2 linked regions of the Arabidopsis thaliana genome follow. The protein of the gene in region 2 interacts with the protein of the main gene of each other region in a biochemical or structural test. Each region holds a gene or a part of one and is shown on either strand. Other genes may lie near its edges.

The links. The genes of interacting proteins can lie anywhere in the genome.
Region 1: the proteins of AT1G14390 (region 2) and AT5G01890 form a complex in vitro, tested with the Arabidopsis thaliana proteins (one large-scale study listed by BioGRID).

What each region holds. Positions count from the first base shown.
Region 1 is NC_003076.8:339,698-348,563, reverse strand, and holds AT5G01890 (Leucine-rich receptor-like protein kinase family protein), read left to right. Parts: upstream 1-3,106; 5' UTR 3,107-3,913; coding exon 3,914-5,370; intron 5,371-5,456; coding exon 5,457-6,903; 3' UTR 6,904-7,188; downstream 7,189-8,866. Other genes in the region: AT5G01895 (uncharacterized protein), read right to left, coding at 4,654-5,199; AT5G01881 (uncharacterized protein), read right to left, coding at 8,298-8,726. UniProt on the Arabidopsis thaliana protein: Leucine-rich repeat receptor-like protein kinase that may play a role in vascular tissues development.
Region 2 is NC_003070.9:4,920,671-4,928,636, reverse strand, and holds AT1G14390 (Leucine-rich repeat protein kinase family protein), read right to left. Parts: upstream 4,601-7,966; 5' UTR 4,361-4,600; coding exon 3,115-4,360; intron 3,039-3,114; coding exon 2,917-3,038; intron 2,838-2,916; coding exon 2,591-2,837; intron 2,511-2,590; coding exon 2,317-2,510; intron 2,221-2,316; coding exon 1,843-2,220; 3' UTR 1,723-1,842; downstream 1-1,722. Other genes in the region: UBC1 (ubiquitin carrier protein 1), read left to right, coding at 501-625, 722-747, 844-933, 1,031-1,119, 1,215-1,343; IQD28 (IQ-domain 28), read left to right, coding at 7,876-7,965.

The sequences.
Region 1 (8,866 bases), on a different chromosome or scaffold from region 2:
ATTTACCATTCTAATTAAACATGATATATTCAATGTAGCTAATTTGTTCCATCTCCATCGTTCTTCTGGTCAAACAAATAAATATATGCTATATATATATCATATAATTGATTCCCAAAATATATGGAAAATAACAATTTATAATTTGATTTTTTTTTTTAAAACCTATGTTTTTCAATGTTTTTATTTAAATTCAATCTTATTATATAAAATATGGTTTTCAAAGTTACTAATTCATATGATTATGTTACGTGTCAAATCTATCGATCAGATGTTGACATGTGTAAGAAAATAATTAATTTTTTTCTTCTTAAAGAAATAGAAATACTTAAAAAGAAATCAATTAACTTTTTTCTTCTTAAAGAAATAGAAAACTAAAAAATAAATCATTATTAACATATACTAATTCATATGTCTATATCTAAAAAATATTACATTTTATTTTTCTTAACCAAAAGGAAAATTAGCAAAAAAAAAAATCTTATTATATAAAGTATGGTTTTCAAAGTTACTAACTCATAAGATTATGTCACGTGTCAAATCTATCGATCAGATGTTGACATGTGTAAGAAAATAATTAACTTTTTTCTTCTCAAAGAAATAGAAATACTTAAAAAGAAATCAATTAACTTTTTTTTTCTTAAGGAAATAGAAAACTAAAAAATAAATCATTATTAACATATACTAATTCATATGTCTATATCTAAAAAATATTATATTTTATTTTTCTTAACCAAAAGGAAAATTAACAAAAAAACAATCTTATTATATAAAGTATGGTTTTCAAAGTTACTAACTCATAGGATTATGCCACGTGTCAAATCTATCGATCAGATGTTGATATGTGTAAGAAAACAATTAACTTTTTTCTTCTTAAAGAAATAGAAATACGTAAAAAGAAATCAATTAACTTTTTTCTTCTTAAAGAAATAGAAAACTAAAAAATAAATTATTATTAACATATACTAATTCATATGTCTATATCTAAAAAATATTATATTTTATTTTTCTTAACCAAAAGGAAAATTAACAAAAATATATATATATATATATATATGTTATTGGTCAAATTTTTAATATATATGGTATTAACAAATGTTTTATTATTATGAATTATGTTTTGTTAATTGTTAATAATTTTTAATATTAACTAAGATATAGATTTGATCTCATATATATATACTATTTTGACATGAAATCATTATCAAGTAAGATAAAGTGTGTAGAATTAAAATCGAGTTTTTTATGAAATAGATAGTTAAATTGTATTACAAAATTGAATGTATAAGATAAAAATTTATTTTTTCTTCTAAATACTAAATTATAATATAAAAAAAAGTGTGTAGGTTACTATTTATACTTCAAATATCATCAATAAGATTGAATGGGTATAACAAAATAAAATGTATAAGACTACTATTTTACTATTCAAAATTATATATCAAGAACAATGTATCGATTATTATTTTACTATTCAAAATTTAAATATTATCGATAAAAATTACATTTACATCTTACACCCGCCTATTTAGGCGGGCCTTATCTAGTATTATATATTTTTAATTTTAAGACCGTTTTATGCTTTGACTAATGTTTATAGGATGAAAGGCATGATATAAGAATGTCAATATATTGACCCCATAATAAATGGTCTAATATCGCTTTTTAGATGTTTGAAGCATATATTTTTTGCTCAAATTTAAACAGAAACCAAAATATTTAAATTTGATATTTTATTTATTTATTTCAAAATATTTAAAACCTTGTTAATTTTGATTTGTGTTTACGGTATTTAAAAACTAAACAAAAAAAAAAGTTTGATAAGAGCTTGATCAGTGACAGTACATGGAAATTAAATGCATATAATAAATAAGGCTTATAAGTTGAGGAGTCAAATATGGGCCTGATATTCAGAATAAAAAAGCCCATTAATTAGGTGAACATGCCCAAGTCAGAATAAAATCTGTTGTTACGTCAAGCAAATGGAAGCGGGAGATATATATTTGCTCCCTATTGGACAACTTCAACTCTTGGGCAATCGAAGCTTTGAATATGTTTTGTGGCTGGGCCCATTAACCCAAAATTAGAAATTAACATGTCGTGTGTCATGAGAACAGAGAATATAGGGTCAGTTGTGATGGCATGGACATGGTTAATGCAGGGTGCACAGGGATTTAACATTACATATAAAACCATATTGGTTACGTCTATCATTAGTTTGGGCTAAACCATACATATTTGTTATTCTTTTCTTTCTTTGGGTGTCAAATACTCATTTATAATAAACACCACGTACACACACACACACACACACAAAATTGGTAAGTGTACAGTTTTTATAGGAAAAGAAGACAATTTCTATACCTACCTAACAATGGATAAACAATTCCATCGAATTGAGAAACGATGGTCACATCTTGATTCACAATACATTCAACTTGAAATTAAAGTTGAAGAGTGATAGTTGTCCTTATAATATCTGTATATTGAACAAAACATTGTTACTAAGAATTTGTGTTAATCATAACCAAAAAAGAAGAAGTTAGAAGTAGATTTTTTTTTTTTTGAAAAAAACATTAAAACAATTCTACTCGAGGGAGTAGGGGATCATGAATGTAAGTGTTTTTTTTTTTTTTTTTTTACATGTGAAACATAATAATGGGAAGTGGTGAGTTGTTGCTTGGGAATGAAACAAAGGTAGAGTCTTGAGATCGTTTGGTAGGCATGTTTTTTTTTTATCCTCAAATGATCATATCAGTCATTATCCCTCTTTTTTTTGCCTCTCTATTAATTTAATCTCCCCTAATTTAGTGAGTGATAATAAAGGAGTTTTTTTTTTTTTTTTAGTGAGTGATAATAAAGGAGTTAGTTTCCATCAAACTAGTTGTATGATTCACAGATAAAAACCAACAAAATAAATAAAAAAATTCGTACGAACAAATTGAAAAGAGGAGTGAAGGTAAGTAAGTCAACGGGAAGGTTGTGAGATGGAGTGAGCACCGTTTACGCTACTTCTCCACTGTGTGCATTCAATGAAGTGATTCTACTGAAAATCTTATATAAACTATACATGCATGATGCATTGAGATGCATATGTTTTTATAATTGACATAAGATTAGTAAACACATGCGTGAGTGGTACGACTAATCTAAGAGTAGTAGTGCTTGAGGTGTGGAAGCTCTCTCTCTCTACACCTTCTTCTTCATAGATGGATCGTCTAAAATCACTTAAGTAATTATCTGTATAATAAAAGAAAGGAAATGATGGCGTAGCAATGCATGCTAAGGGACAAGAAAGGCTTCGGGGGAGAGATCACTTCTCTTCTACTCCATCCTCTTTGTCTCTGCTGCTTCAAATCTCTCATCTACATGATCAGATCATTTAAGCGTGATAGACTCTTTTTTTATTTTTTTATTATTACTTATATTTTTTTTTGAAAAAGTATTAAAGTAGTAATAAAAAGCGGGGAGAGGAGAAGATTGTCTCCTAGAGCGACTTGAATCCTTGAGCTTTCAAACTCATCTCCCGGAGCTTCCCTTTTCTCTTTACTCTCTCTCTCTCTCTCTCTCTCTCTCACTTTTCTCTGTTTTTTTTCTTGGTGTCTGTCTTAATTCCACCATTAATGCTCTCTACCTTCCCTTTTACTCTTCCCCTGCTTTTGTGTTTTCTCTTTCTCTTTTCTAAACCCTTTCAAACTCTTCTTCCTCTTCTTTCTTTTTCTCCAATAACAGTTTCTTGTGCTCATGTTAAAACTGCAGCTCTTTTCCGGTAAAAAGAAAAGCTTTTTGGTCAGTTTAGTTATCCTCAAGCATCAAAACCTTACTTGAGCTCTGCATCATCATCCATGGCCATGGCCGACTAGCCTTCTTTCTTCGCTTTTTACCTCCTTAATATCTTTAAAAGCGAGAGGAAATGTTCAACGGCGCCGTTTCACTACTCTTCCTCTTCCTTGCCGTCGTTTCAGCGAGGGCAGATCCGACATTCAACGACGACGTTTTGGGTCTCATCGTTTTCAAGGCCGGACTCGACGACCCTCTCTCTAAGCTCTCTTCTTGGAACTCGGAAGACTACGATCCCTGCAACTGGGTCGGTTGCACATGCGACCCTGCCACCAATCGGGTCTCGGAGCTCCGCCTTGACGCCTTCTCTCTCTCCGGTCACATCGGCCGTGGCCTTCTCCGTCTCCAGTTCCTCCACACCTTGGTCCTCTCCAACAACAACCTCACCGGAACCCTAAACCCCGAGTTCCCTCACCTCGGCAGCCTCCAAGTCGTCGATTTCAGTGGCAATAATCTCTCGGGTCGGATCCCAGACGGGTTCTTCGAGCAATGCGGGTCCTTGAGGTCCGTTTCCTTGGCTAACAACAAACTCACAGGTTCTATTCCTGTCTCCCTCAGCTACTGTTCTACTCTCACCCATCTTAACCTCTCAAGCAATCAACTCTCTGGGAGGTTGCCCCGAGATATCTGGTTCCTCAAGAGCTTAAAGTCCCTTGATTTCTCTCACAATTTCCTCCAAGGAGATATCCCCGATGGCCTCGGCGGTCTCTACGATCTCCGTCATATCAACTTATCCAGGAACTGGTTTTCCGGTGACGTTCCTTCCGACATCGGACGATGCTCTTCCCTTAAATCGCTTGACTTGAGTGAGAACTACTTCTCCGGGAATCTTCCGGATTCGATGAAAAGCCTGGGCTCTTGCAGCTCCATCCGTCTGCGAGGAAACTCTCTGATCGGAGAAATCCCTGATTGGATCGGCGACATTGCCACTCTCGAGATTCTTGATCTCTCCGCCAACAACTTCACCGGCACTGTCCCATTCTCCCTCGGAAATCTCGAGTTTTTGAAGGATCTCAATCTATCCGCAAACATGCTCGCTGGAGAGCTCCCACAGACTCTCTCCAACTGCTCCAACCTAATCTCCATTGATGTCAGCAAGAATTCATTCACCGGAGATGTGCTTAAGTGGATGTTCACCGGAAACTCTGAAAGTTCCTCGCTTTCCAGATTTAGCCTCCACAAAAGATCAGGGAACGACACCATTATGCCCATCGTTGGATTCCTCCAAGGTCTCCGGGTCCTCGATCTGTCTTCAAACGGCTTCACCGGTGAATTACCGTCTAACATTTGGATTCTCACAAGTTTGTTGCAGCTCAATATGTCCACCAACTCTCTCTTCGGTTCCATACCCACCGGCATTGGAGGATTGAAAGTCGCTGAGATTCTTGATCTTAGTAGTAATCTTCTCAACGGAACCCTTCCTTCTGAGATCGGAGGAGCCGTCTCCCTGAAACAACTTCATCTCCACAGAAACCGCCTCTCCGGCCAGATTCCGGCAAAGATCTCTAACTGTTCGGCTTTAAACACAATGTAAGTCAACTCAATCTGTTATCTTTCTGTTAATTCACTGTGTGTGTTTTATCGTCTCTCAGTATTAATGTAGCAGTAATATGCAGAAATCTATCGGAGAATGAACTATCCGGTGCGATTCCGGGGAGCATTGGCAGTCTGAGCAACCTTGAGTACATTGATCTGTCGAGAAACAATCTCTCGGGAAGTCTTCCCAAAGAAATAGAGAAACTTTCGCATCTCTTGACCTTTAACATCTCCCACAACAACATCACAGGGGAGCTGCCAGCTGGAGGTTTCTTCAACACCATCCCTCTCTCTGCTGTCACCGGAAACCCATCCCTTTGTGGCTCCGTCGTTAACCGCTCATGTCTCTCTGTCCACCCCAAACCAATCGTCCTCAACCCCAACTCCTCCAATCCAACAAATGGTCCTGCTCTCACAGGGCAGATCAGGAAGAGCGTTCTGAGCATATCTGCGCTCATTGCCATTGGCGCAGCTGCCGTCATTGCCATCGGGGTGGTGGCTGTAACTCTGCTCAACGTGCACGCCCGATCTAGTGTTTCACGTCACGATGCAGCTGCTGCTCTCGCTCTGTCGGTTGGAGAGACGTTCAGCTGTTCGCCAAGTAAAGATCAAGAGTTTGGAAAGCTGGTCATGTTCTCAGGGGAAGTGGACGTGTTTGACACCACTGGCGCTGATGCGTTGCTCAACAAGGACAGCGAGCTGGGACGAGGCGGGTTCGGTGTGGTGTACAAAACGAGTCTTCAGGATGGGCGTCCTGTGGCAGTTAAGAAACTGACAGTGTCGGGTCTAATAAAGTCGCAGGAGGAGTTCGAGAGAGAGATGAGAAAACTCGGGAAGCTGAGGCACAAGAATGTGGTGGAGATAAAAGGGTACTACTGGACGCAATCGCTGCAGCTCTTGATCCACGAGTTTGTTTCAGGCGGAAGCTTGTACAGACATCTCCACGGAGATGAGAGCGTTTGCCTAACTTGGCGTCAACGTTTCAGTATCATTCTAGGGATAGCAAGAGGTCTGGCTTTTCTGCATAGCAGTAACATCACTCACTACAACATGAAAGCAACGAATGTGCTCATTGACGCCGCAGGGGAGGCTAAAGTCTCTGACTTTGGGCTGGCCAGACTGTTGGCTTCGGCGCTGGACAGGTGCGTCTTGAGTGGCAAGGTACAGAGCGCGTTGGGGTACACAGCCCCGGAGTTTGCATGCCGGACAGTCAAGATAACCGACAGGTGCGATGTTTACGGGTTTGGGATCCTGGTGCTGGAGGTGGTGACAGGGAAGAGACCCGTGGAGTACGCTGAGGACGACGTCGTGGTCTTGTGTGAGACGGTGAGAGAAGGGTTAGAAGAAGGGAGGGTGGAGGAGTGCGTTGACCCTCGGTTGAGAGGGAATTTTCCAGCGGAGGAGGCAATACCGGTGATTAAACTAGGGTTGGTGTGTGGGTCCCAAGTGCCGTCGAATAGGCCGGAGATGGAGGAAGTGGTGAAGATATTAGAGCTCATACAATGTCCCTCTCATGACTTAGAGTGATTAGTCAACTACAGATGAATCAATCCTCCTTGTTTGTATTTCTTCATTCCTTGTTCAATTTTCATATTATCATAATATAGTGTTCGTCTTTTCTATAAAGAAGTTTTTCTCGTGAGTTCACAATGTTGTTAAGTTGTGAATCTTCACACTAGGTTTCACAATGTTGAAGGTTGGTTCATAAAGTAGATCCAAAAGATCAACTTCTGTTACACTAAAAAGATTGTTGGTCAAAGAACTCCCAATTATACATATAACTACAATGCAGCCTTTGTGTTAAGGTTTCTCGGTTTGCTATTTTGGACGTGTTATTTGAATCTCTGTTTAGTAAGCATGATGCAAAATAGAAAACAATATGATTCTGTACAAAAATTTGAAATGGCATAAAGTCAGTCAAGCGCACTAAGCATTACTCAGAGTCTCGCACTGTCACAAATTTTAATTTATGTTTCAAAATAATCATTACTCAGAGGCTTTTTGATTGTTCTTTTCCATAAAGCGAAAAAGAGAAGTCCACCATTGTGAAGTGAAAGTCACAAAGGGTCCAAGCATGAGCTTTTTCTGTAATGCTTTCATTATTGTATAGTTATGGAGTGTCCCACACACATACTCATTTCTCATTTTCATTACTCCCAAAACTTTTAAGTTTTACTTTTGTCAGCTAATGAGCATACACTCTCATTCATTTAAGCCATGCAATGCATATACATTACTCATCACACATGGTGGTCCGGAGAAACGTATCTCAAAATAAAGTTACTTCAGTGTAAATTACAGACGATTCAGATTTCAGGCACATTTCTCATTTTAATATCATTATTATGTCTTTGCTTTTCTCATGTCGTGTCTACTGTCTCCCCCTTTATACTCCTCGTTTACACACTAAAAAGCACATTACAATATTCCTTACCTTACAATTTAAACTCCATTACAACTTTTGTTGTTCCTCTTTTTTTGCTTCCACTGTTAAAAGCACCTTCGGCTACATTTCCACAAAAAAAAAGGCTTCGGTTTATATATTTTAATAAGAAAATGAATGTGGATATGGACTATTATGGAGCAACATCAACATTTTGGGCCGTCAATGCAAAGAAGATTCAAACAATTGTAATTTAGTAAGCGCTGGACGACTTTGCAAATCTTATATCACTGCTCTCCACTAAAATAGAGTCTTGTGACAATCTAAGTTGGGAGATAAAACAAGTCCATATTCCCACCTTTTCTGTTTAGCCGGCAATAAATGGGCCGAATTTGGTCCAATAAAACAATTATCAGAATATTTGGGCCTGGTAGCCTAAAGAAATGTGACGCTTTGGCCCAATCACTTCTTTCACCAACAATCACAGAGGTCAGATGGGAATGTTGAAAGAGGGACAAAGAAGAAGAAATCGTTGCTTTTATTTAATACCAAACAATTCATAACAATCTAATTCGCTGCTCAGCTTGTTGATCCATGGGACTAGAAAATTGATGACGACGATGATGAGAGTAACCACAACACCAACGCCTTTTGCTTTCTTTGCCACTACCACCGCTCGATTCCTAACCAATTTGATGAGTTTCTTCTTCGTATCCACTTCCCTCTGTTTTCGTCCACGGAAGAGAGCAAAAAGACTCCGTCGGAATCTGACCCAATCGGACGGTTTGGATTTGAGATGATGATGATGCTTTCGGAATCTTAAGAGGATTGACCATCGATGAAGCGAGAGCTTGTTCCGTATATTGAGCTTCAAACTGAAACCTTTGGCTCTCACACATACTTTAAGCTTCCACACCACCCCCACTCCCAACCTCCTCCTCTGCTCTTCTTCTTCTTCTTCACTCATCACTCATCACTCATTCACTCTCACTTGTCAATTAGGGCAGCGTCATACATAACCTAAGCAAAACAAAAACCAAGATGGGCTTTTCCACTAACATAAATTGAAATTAGGCCCAATTATATTCGGCCTCAATCCTGATGTTG
Region 2 (7,966 bases):
CTCTTCCCAAATTATTGATTTTTTTTACCCATTTCTCTCATCGCACGGTGATATTGAGAATCGCCGACCTGAATCGATCGGAAAACTTTCTCTGATTACCGGCGGTCAACACCGCTGAACACATATGTTTGTTTGACGACCTCTTCTCTCCGCGATCTTTACCTCAACAACGAGATCTGTTTCCACGGTACCATTTTCATCCGATCTCTGTTCTTCTATGTTTGTTTACTGGATCCGTTGATTTTACTTTCATCTTATCATTTGTGTGTGGCTATTTTGGTGAATTGATGCGATCTTAAGCTGTTTCTAGGTTCAAGCCTTATATGTTTCTTCTAAGCTAATCATAGGTCGTAGACTTGTTAGGAAGATTCGAATCTAGTACAAAGTTAGCAACTTTAGCATACGTAAATCGTTAGTAGTAATTTCTAGATTGATAGAGGTTCGAGACCTTAAAAGGTGATGAATATTTGGTGGGTTTTGTTTATTAGAAAGAAAGGAGGATGTCGACGCCAGCAAGGAAGAGGTTAATGAGGGATTTCAAGAGGTTGCAGCAAGACCCACCTGCGGGTATTAGTGGTGCTCCACAGGACAACAACATTATGCTCTGGAATGCTGTCATATTTGGGTAATGGGAACAAGTACCTTTAGATACTGGCTAAATATTTCTGAAACTTTTGTCATTTCTGTACTTACTTAGACCTTTTTGTTTCTAAATTTGTAGGCCTGATGACACACCATGGGATGGAGGTATGGTTATGATATGTTATTGCATTTTGACAAGAAGCATAAATTTTTGGGATCGTTGTAGTGGTGTTCTTATGTCTCTTTCTTGATGCTGTTCAGGTACTTTCAAACTCTCACTGCAGTTCTCTGAAGATTATCCCAATAAACCACCAACAGTTCGGTTTGTGTCACGGATGTTTCATCCTAATAGTAAGTTATAGAGATACAACATTGGATTTTCTATCCACCTGGTTGATGTTCAGCTTTTGCCTCCAATTAACGTTCTTCTGCTCTATTCGTTGTGTAGTTTATGCAGATGGGAGTATCTGCTTGGACATTCTACAAAACCAGTGGAGTCCAATCTATGATGTTGCTGCTATACTTACCTCCATCCAGGTGAATTCAAAATGCCATATGAACATCTCTTGATGCCCTTAAAAGCTTGAATTGCTTTCTTCTTCTCTAATCCGTTTTTCCCTTTGTTATTGCAGTCCTTGCTCTGTGACCCTAATCCGAATTCTCCTGCAAACTCGGAAGCTGCTCGGATGTACAGCGAAAGCAAGCGCGAGTACAACAGGAGAGTGCGTGATGTTGTTGAGCAAAGCTGGACTGCTGACTAGTAGTAGTTTGTTGTAAGCGTTGTAGCTCTCTCTACTTTCTCTCAATCACGATTCAGCAACAGCTTTCTTCTCTTTTCATTCATGTCTTGTGTTTCCAAAACTATTTAAGTGATTCCATGCTTTGATGTAACCCAACATCCTTAAAAAAACAACTTTGTACCAAACCATCTGAATTATTCACTTTTGTGTATATATGTATTACGATTTACTTGCTAGCTACAAAAAACAACTTTGTACCCAAATTCCACAAAGTTGCGATATTTTATTTAAGGGTTTGTGGCCTTATCCTTCTGTTACACCCTTTCATTGCCTTAACAATTGCATTGCTTTCTTTGTGACGCTAATCCAATTTCTACACCAAAATCTGAAGCTTCACATGAGACTCGTAAGTACCTTAAGTATTAGTAGGTTCAACTTTATGTATTCTCATATAGGCCTTGAATTTGACATTGATCAGTTTCTCTATGTTCTTCAAGGATGGTGATTTTATATTTCTCTTCTATAGTTCTGAACCACCAAGCCCGAGGTTCTCACTGCTTGTCCATCCTTGTTGCACTTGAATTGTGTACTGCAGATTCCATACAACATCCTCTATCGATGGCCGCTTCCTCTGATCTTCACAAAGACAGTTAATGGCAAACTCTACTGTGGTTCTCAATGACTCGTATGCATATGTTCCTCTCACACACGGATCTGCCAAGCTACGCAACACCGATGGTTCGTCTCTCAAACTGTTCTCCAGCTGAAGCTTCAAGCTCCCCAACTCTGAAGATGCAGCTGCTATTACTTTGCCTGTGATGATCTGAATTAGTATCACTCCAAACTGGTACACATCTTCTTTCTCTCCATCTTCATTACTAGGGCTCTCCGCTCCAACCTGAAATTCCCCCAGAAGGTTATATATTTCATGAGAGGTTAAACTGAAGATTAGAAGCTATATCCTGATTATATTATATCTGGTTTGTTTATATACCTTGGATGGTAAAGGAATACTATAACCACTGAGTTTTACAGTGAGTGTTTCATCAAGTAAAACATTCTCTATTTCCAAATTGTTCCCAAATATTCCTGGTGCCACTCCTGTGTGCAAGAACTGTATTCCTCGAGCAACTCCAATCGCTATCGACATTCTCTGAGGCCATTTCAACACCTCTTTCTTTCTCCAATCTGCCAAAAACATTTCCAAATAATTAGTTTCCCAACAAAAATATAAGTTCTTGAAATCGATAATCTTTTTCAAGTATTACCGGTGAGGTAATCCCTCAAAGACCCGTTAGAGATATATTCTTGGACAATGAAAATAGTGCTTCCGGCATAAGGATGATGATCTTGATAAGTACCAATGCAGTGTCCAAGAACACTGACCAAATGCATATGCCTTAGCTTTGATAAAACTTCCATTTGTTGAGCTAAATTCTGTGTTGAATTCTTCTGTTTCAGCTTAATACACCTCACTGTCACTGCTATGCCTTCTCTAAGACAACCTTTGTACAGCTGTTTTGAAATTAGATATATCGATTAGTTAGACACTCGGATCAATTTTAAATCATGTCTTATTTACATTTTCCTTTACCTGTTCTCCACAGAGATTCTCTGCATCAAAATTGTTGGTTGCTTCTTCCAGTTCCTCCAAAGAGAAAACTCGGTATGGTGATAGTCCAATCACCGCGGATCTCATGGTTTGCGGTACACGTCCTGCATTTGAAAAAATCAAGCTAGTTAGGTTAATGGGTGTGAAAACTTGATTCAAGATTTCAAAGTAATAGCCTACTTAGATCTGGTACTGTCTTTGATGTGGTGGACCTGGTGGTGTTGCTGCAAACAGTGACCTGATCGACGTTGTTTGCTTCCAAAGGCTCTTCTTTTGATCTTGATTTTCTCATCCTAACCAAAACCAAGCCAGCTAAAACCGCTGAAACGAGGATCACACCGATGATAATGCCAATCACCAATCCAAGTTCGATTCCTGTATCTTCTTCTTTCCTTTCTTTATCTTTAGTGTCAGACTTCACAGCAGCTACTGCTTGCTTTGCTTCGTTTTCACAGAAGGTAACTGGACGCTGATACTTTGCAGAAGGAGAACCATTTATAGACAAGCAATTGAATGTGAAGAGCAGTACTGTCTGTTTCTTGGAAGAGAAGCAAGATGGAAGCTTCCCAGTCAGAAGATTCCGAGAAACATCTAAAATTCTAAGCTTGGAGTTGCACAACGATGAATTTGGAAGTGATCCACTCAGCAAGTTTTGTGCTAAACTTAGATTCTGAAGCGAAGGAAGCGAAAGCAGGAATCTTGGGATTGAGCCAGTGAACTTGTTGGAGGAAAGATCTAAGCTCTGAAGCTTATTCAGCTTCTTGATCTGTTCTGGAATCTTTGATCCAAAAGAGTTGTTCTTCAATGAAATAGTAATCAAGTTACTTGCAAGTGAAGGAACAACTTCAGGACCGAGTTTATTACCGCCTAAATTCAGCTCTTGAAGATTCGACAATCCTCTGAGATCAGGAACACTTCCGTTAAACAAATTGTTCGCTAGAACAAGACTTCTCAGATTCTTCAACGACGAGATCTCTTTAGGAATATTCCCAGAGATGAAATTAGAACTGAGATTCAGAGATTGAAGAGATGAAGATAACCTGATGATCTGTGAAGGGAGAGGACCAGAGATGCCAAGAGAGACCAGAGACAATGTCTTTAAGTTTGAGAGTTTTGTAAGAACAGTGAATAGTGAGTCGCTTGAGAATCTTCCGGGGAGCTTAACGGTTCTGTTCCCCGTGACGGTTAATTCAGTTACATGACCATTGAAACAGAGGATTTTGAAAGAAGGAGAAGAAGGGAGGTAGCAGAAATTGGTCCAGTTGCTCCATGATCGAAGAGTTGGTGGATATTGTAAATGCTTTTGGATTTCTAATAGAGTTCTTGATTCACTTGATATTAGCTGTGATTCTGAGACTGATGGCAGAAGAAAAAGAAAGAGAAGAAAAGTGAGAGAAAAGGCCTGGCTTTTAGAGGAACTATGCATTCTCTCAGGAAGAATTACAGAGAAATTAGAAAGAAAGATGTTATTGTGGCTTAAGGAACAGAAGGTCTTTCTGTTATTGTAGCCGAGATTAGTGTTAGTATTTGTTTAGTAGTCTAAAAAAATGGTGTTTTGTACATAAATTCTAGAGATTTTTTTAGATCGGAAGCAGATTTTCTAGGGAAATTGGGAGATAAAAAAATGAAACAATGTTTTTGGGACAGAGCAAGAAACAAAATTAAGTGGAGAGAAGTTCTGCTGAGAAGAAGACAATAAATACAAATTTTGTTTAATTTTTGTTTCTTATGTTGATTGTTCATAAGTTTCACATTGACAGACTGTTTTACTGCTTCGAAGAAAGTGAATGAAATTTTTTAAAAGCATAAAATGAATTAGATCCTTAAAATACGTAAAATCCACATGAAATATCTGACTATTTATCTACTTTTGATCTAAAATTTCCACAATTTAGAGTTATTTATTTACTTCAACTGGTTCTTAATTAATTTCTCTGTTATGGTCAGAAGACCTTTCTTTATTACTCATATAACATGCATTTATTTGATACATAATACATGCATAAACATACAAATACATACATGTTTGACGAATAAATGTTGTGTAGTAGTACTTCTCTCGAAATCCGTTGATCTCTTCCCCAAGGTAAATTCTTTCATCTTTACCAATTTTTTAAAAAATATAAATGAATAAACTTACGAATAAATGTTTGTAGTTTCTTTTATAACATTTTAACTCCTGTAATATCAATACTACTTGTAAAATAACAAAAAATACATACTTAATTAATGAGCAACGTTGCATTAATTGTTAATGCATAGAGATTTGATAGATATATAGCGACCAGACAGTATGTAATAAAAGTCAACCAGACCAGTGAACGAGTTTTTTTACACGTGCTCTTTCGTCAATGTAAATATGTAATGATCAGATCGTGCCGTTAAGGATCATCCAAAGCCACCGTCGCAAGGAAAATCTAACCCCGTTCGTTGGATTAAAAGCTCAAATAAAGAATTACATGTCCTAACCAAATCTTTTTCTCGAACTACACTTTTAACCACTTGTTGTTTTTCTCGAAACCAGAAGGACACCAAATGATCATCTATATACAGTAAACCAACAAATGATATAAATCGTACTTCTTTTTTCTCGTGGTCATCAATCAACAATTCAATATCAAACTGTTACAAAAAATACCAATCTCAAACTAATAATACTACCAATTAGTTCGGCCATGATATATTTTCATCACTATTGTCGGTGAGAAATGAGTGTCATTTTGTTTTCGTGTGTTTGGAAAGTGTTGAGATTCTAACAAATGTTCAGCTGTTTTCTTTTTGGTGTGTGAATTGTGATGAACTGTCCATTACTTTCTCTTTTGTTCCTTTATTCTTTTTACATCGATCTCTCATTGTTCTTTACTTCTTTTTAAGTGGCCTGACGTGCGATCCTAATAAAAAGAAGGTTGGTTATATACAATTTTTGACAAAAACCAAAAAAGTTTTGTTGTATAAGAGGAATTATAGAAACCATGCATCACCAACACCAAGTAGTAAAAAGTTTCATCCCAAAACAAGTGACCGTCATCGTAGTAAGTTAAAAAAATGGCTGAAAACAAAAGTTTTCAAGTTCAAAATACAAGGTTTTATCAGAAGCACTCAAAACCAATATTTTGTCACAGCTTCCAAGTTTCCAAGTAATCATGATGAAAAAATATACTATTTTCTAAAAACAAAAAGGTAAGGGAAGATAAAATGCGAGTTTGCAAGCACATCACATGCAACTGCCTTTGTAATAAGCGACACTGCCAAAGTATCAATTAATATTATACAACATGCATTTCTTTTCAATTTTATATGCAGCTTTATTATTAAAATCCTTTGTCAGATAACTTACAAACTGTTATTTTTTGGGCTTATAGGCTTATTAAAGGTTAGAATTTAAACCCATATATGTATCCAACTAATTTAAGGCCCAAAATATGCATCTTTAGGTCCATATAAATTAGGCATGTTCAAAATAAATTACCCAAATTATATAGCATATAGTTGAATAAATTCAGAAAAAAAAAAATATCATAAAGTTTACACTGTAGTTTAGTTGTGACATAAAATTTGCTAATGTAAAGTTATCCACAAAAAAAATTCAAACATTTTAAGATATTCATTTCTTAAAACCAGGATTCAACTTCGAACAGAATCAAATCTAAACTTTATTATAGTGATAATTTAATCATGTTTCTTTCACATTCGTTTATGAAACGTCAAAAAATATCTAGTTAGAATACAATACATTCCTATCATGAGCTGGTTAGTGGTTACGATTTAAATAATTGATTAGGAATACTAGATTAGATGTTTGGATTAAGCGAACTAACCACTTGGATAATGACACCCATCATTCTTGATTGTTAGTATTGTTTTAGAAAAAAGGTTATCACTTATCATCAATGTCATGATCATGATCCAAGAAAAAGGAGGGTATTTCTGTAAATAACTCCCTTTGACTCCTTTAATTGGGCCCAGAAAGGCCTAGTTTTAGACTTTGCCTACACATCATTCCAAACGACGTCGCTTTGAACCGAAATTTCTTTTGTTTTTGTCTATTCCTTAATTAATTTTTTCTTTCTAATTAAAAGTGGTAATATCTGTCATCTTCTTCTTTCGCTATCAGTGGAACCGTTGGGGAAGACTATTTGTTCACAGTGAGCTACCACTATGCCTTTAAGCCTTTTAGGTCATTGATCTTGTTTCCGACTTTTAGAAGGAAGGACAACATTCGAAGAACAACCACAGTAAGTTTGGTACTACTACTCATCAATTCAATTCTCTGAGGTTGACGTTTTAATTTCCTTTTTCACCATTTTTGCTAAAATTGTCTGCTTTTGATTTATACCCAGATCTGATTAATCTCTGATCGTTAGATTTATCTTTATATCACTTCCTCAGCTCTGAATTTGATAGAAAGGTTTGATTTTTACTTTGGTATCTTGCTCAATTGGAACTTTTTTTCTTTTTCTTTCTCAATTGGAACTTTACCAGCTTAATTTTTGGATATTGGTTTATCTGCTGGATCTTCATGATTTTGGTTTGCTGTCTTCAAGATCTCTGCTTTTGTTCACTTCATTTAATGCCATCTGTTTTATTTCTGGCTTCCGTTACTTTTTTTATTTTATGCCTTGATTCATGCTACTTTTTTATGTTATTATATTACTGAACCATTGTCTTTAGCTGATGGATTGTGGTACTGTATGTTCCTGTTAAATACTTTTCAGCTGCAACTTCTTCATGTTCGTTGGCTATGTTGCTGTGTTAAAAGTGAACATTCACAAATTTAGCTACTTTCTTTGCTTGTAAAAGTTCACAGAATTGGCTTGTTTCTTTGCTGGTGAAATTCACTGGATGAGCTTGTTTACTTTGTTTGTGAGAATTTACAGACTTGGCTTGTTCTTCTGCAGGTTTCTACGTTTAGCAACTCATTATTTTTAGGCGCCATCAAGAATGGGAAAGACTCCTGGTAAATGGATCAAGACTTTGCTTCTCGGGAAGAAGTCGCCTAAGTCGAATTCGGATAACCGAAGCCAGAAACTGG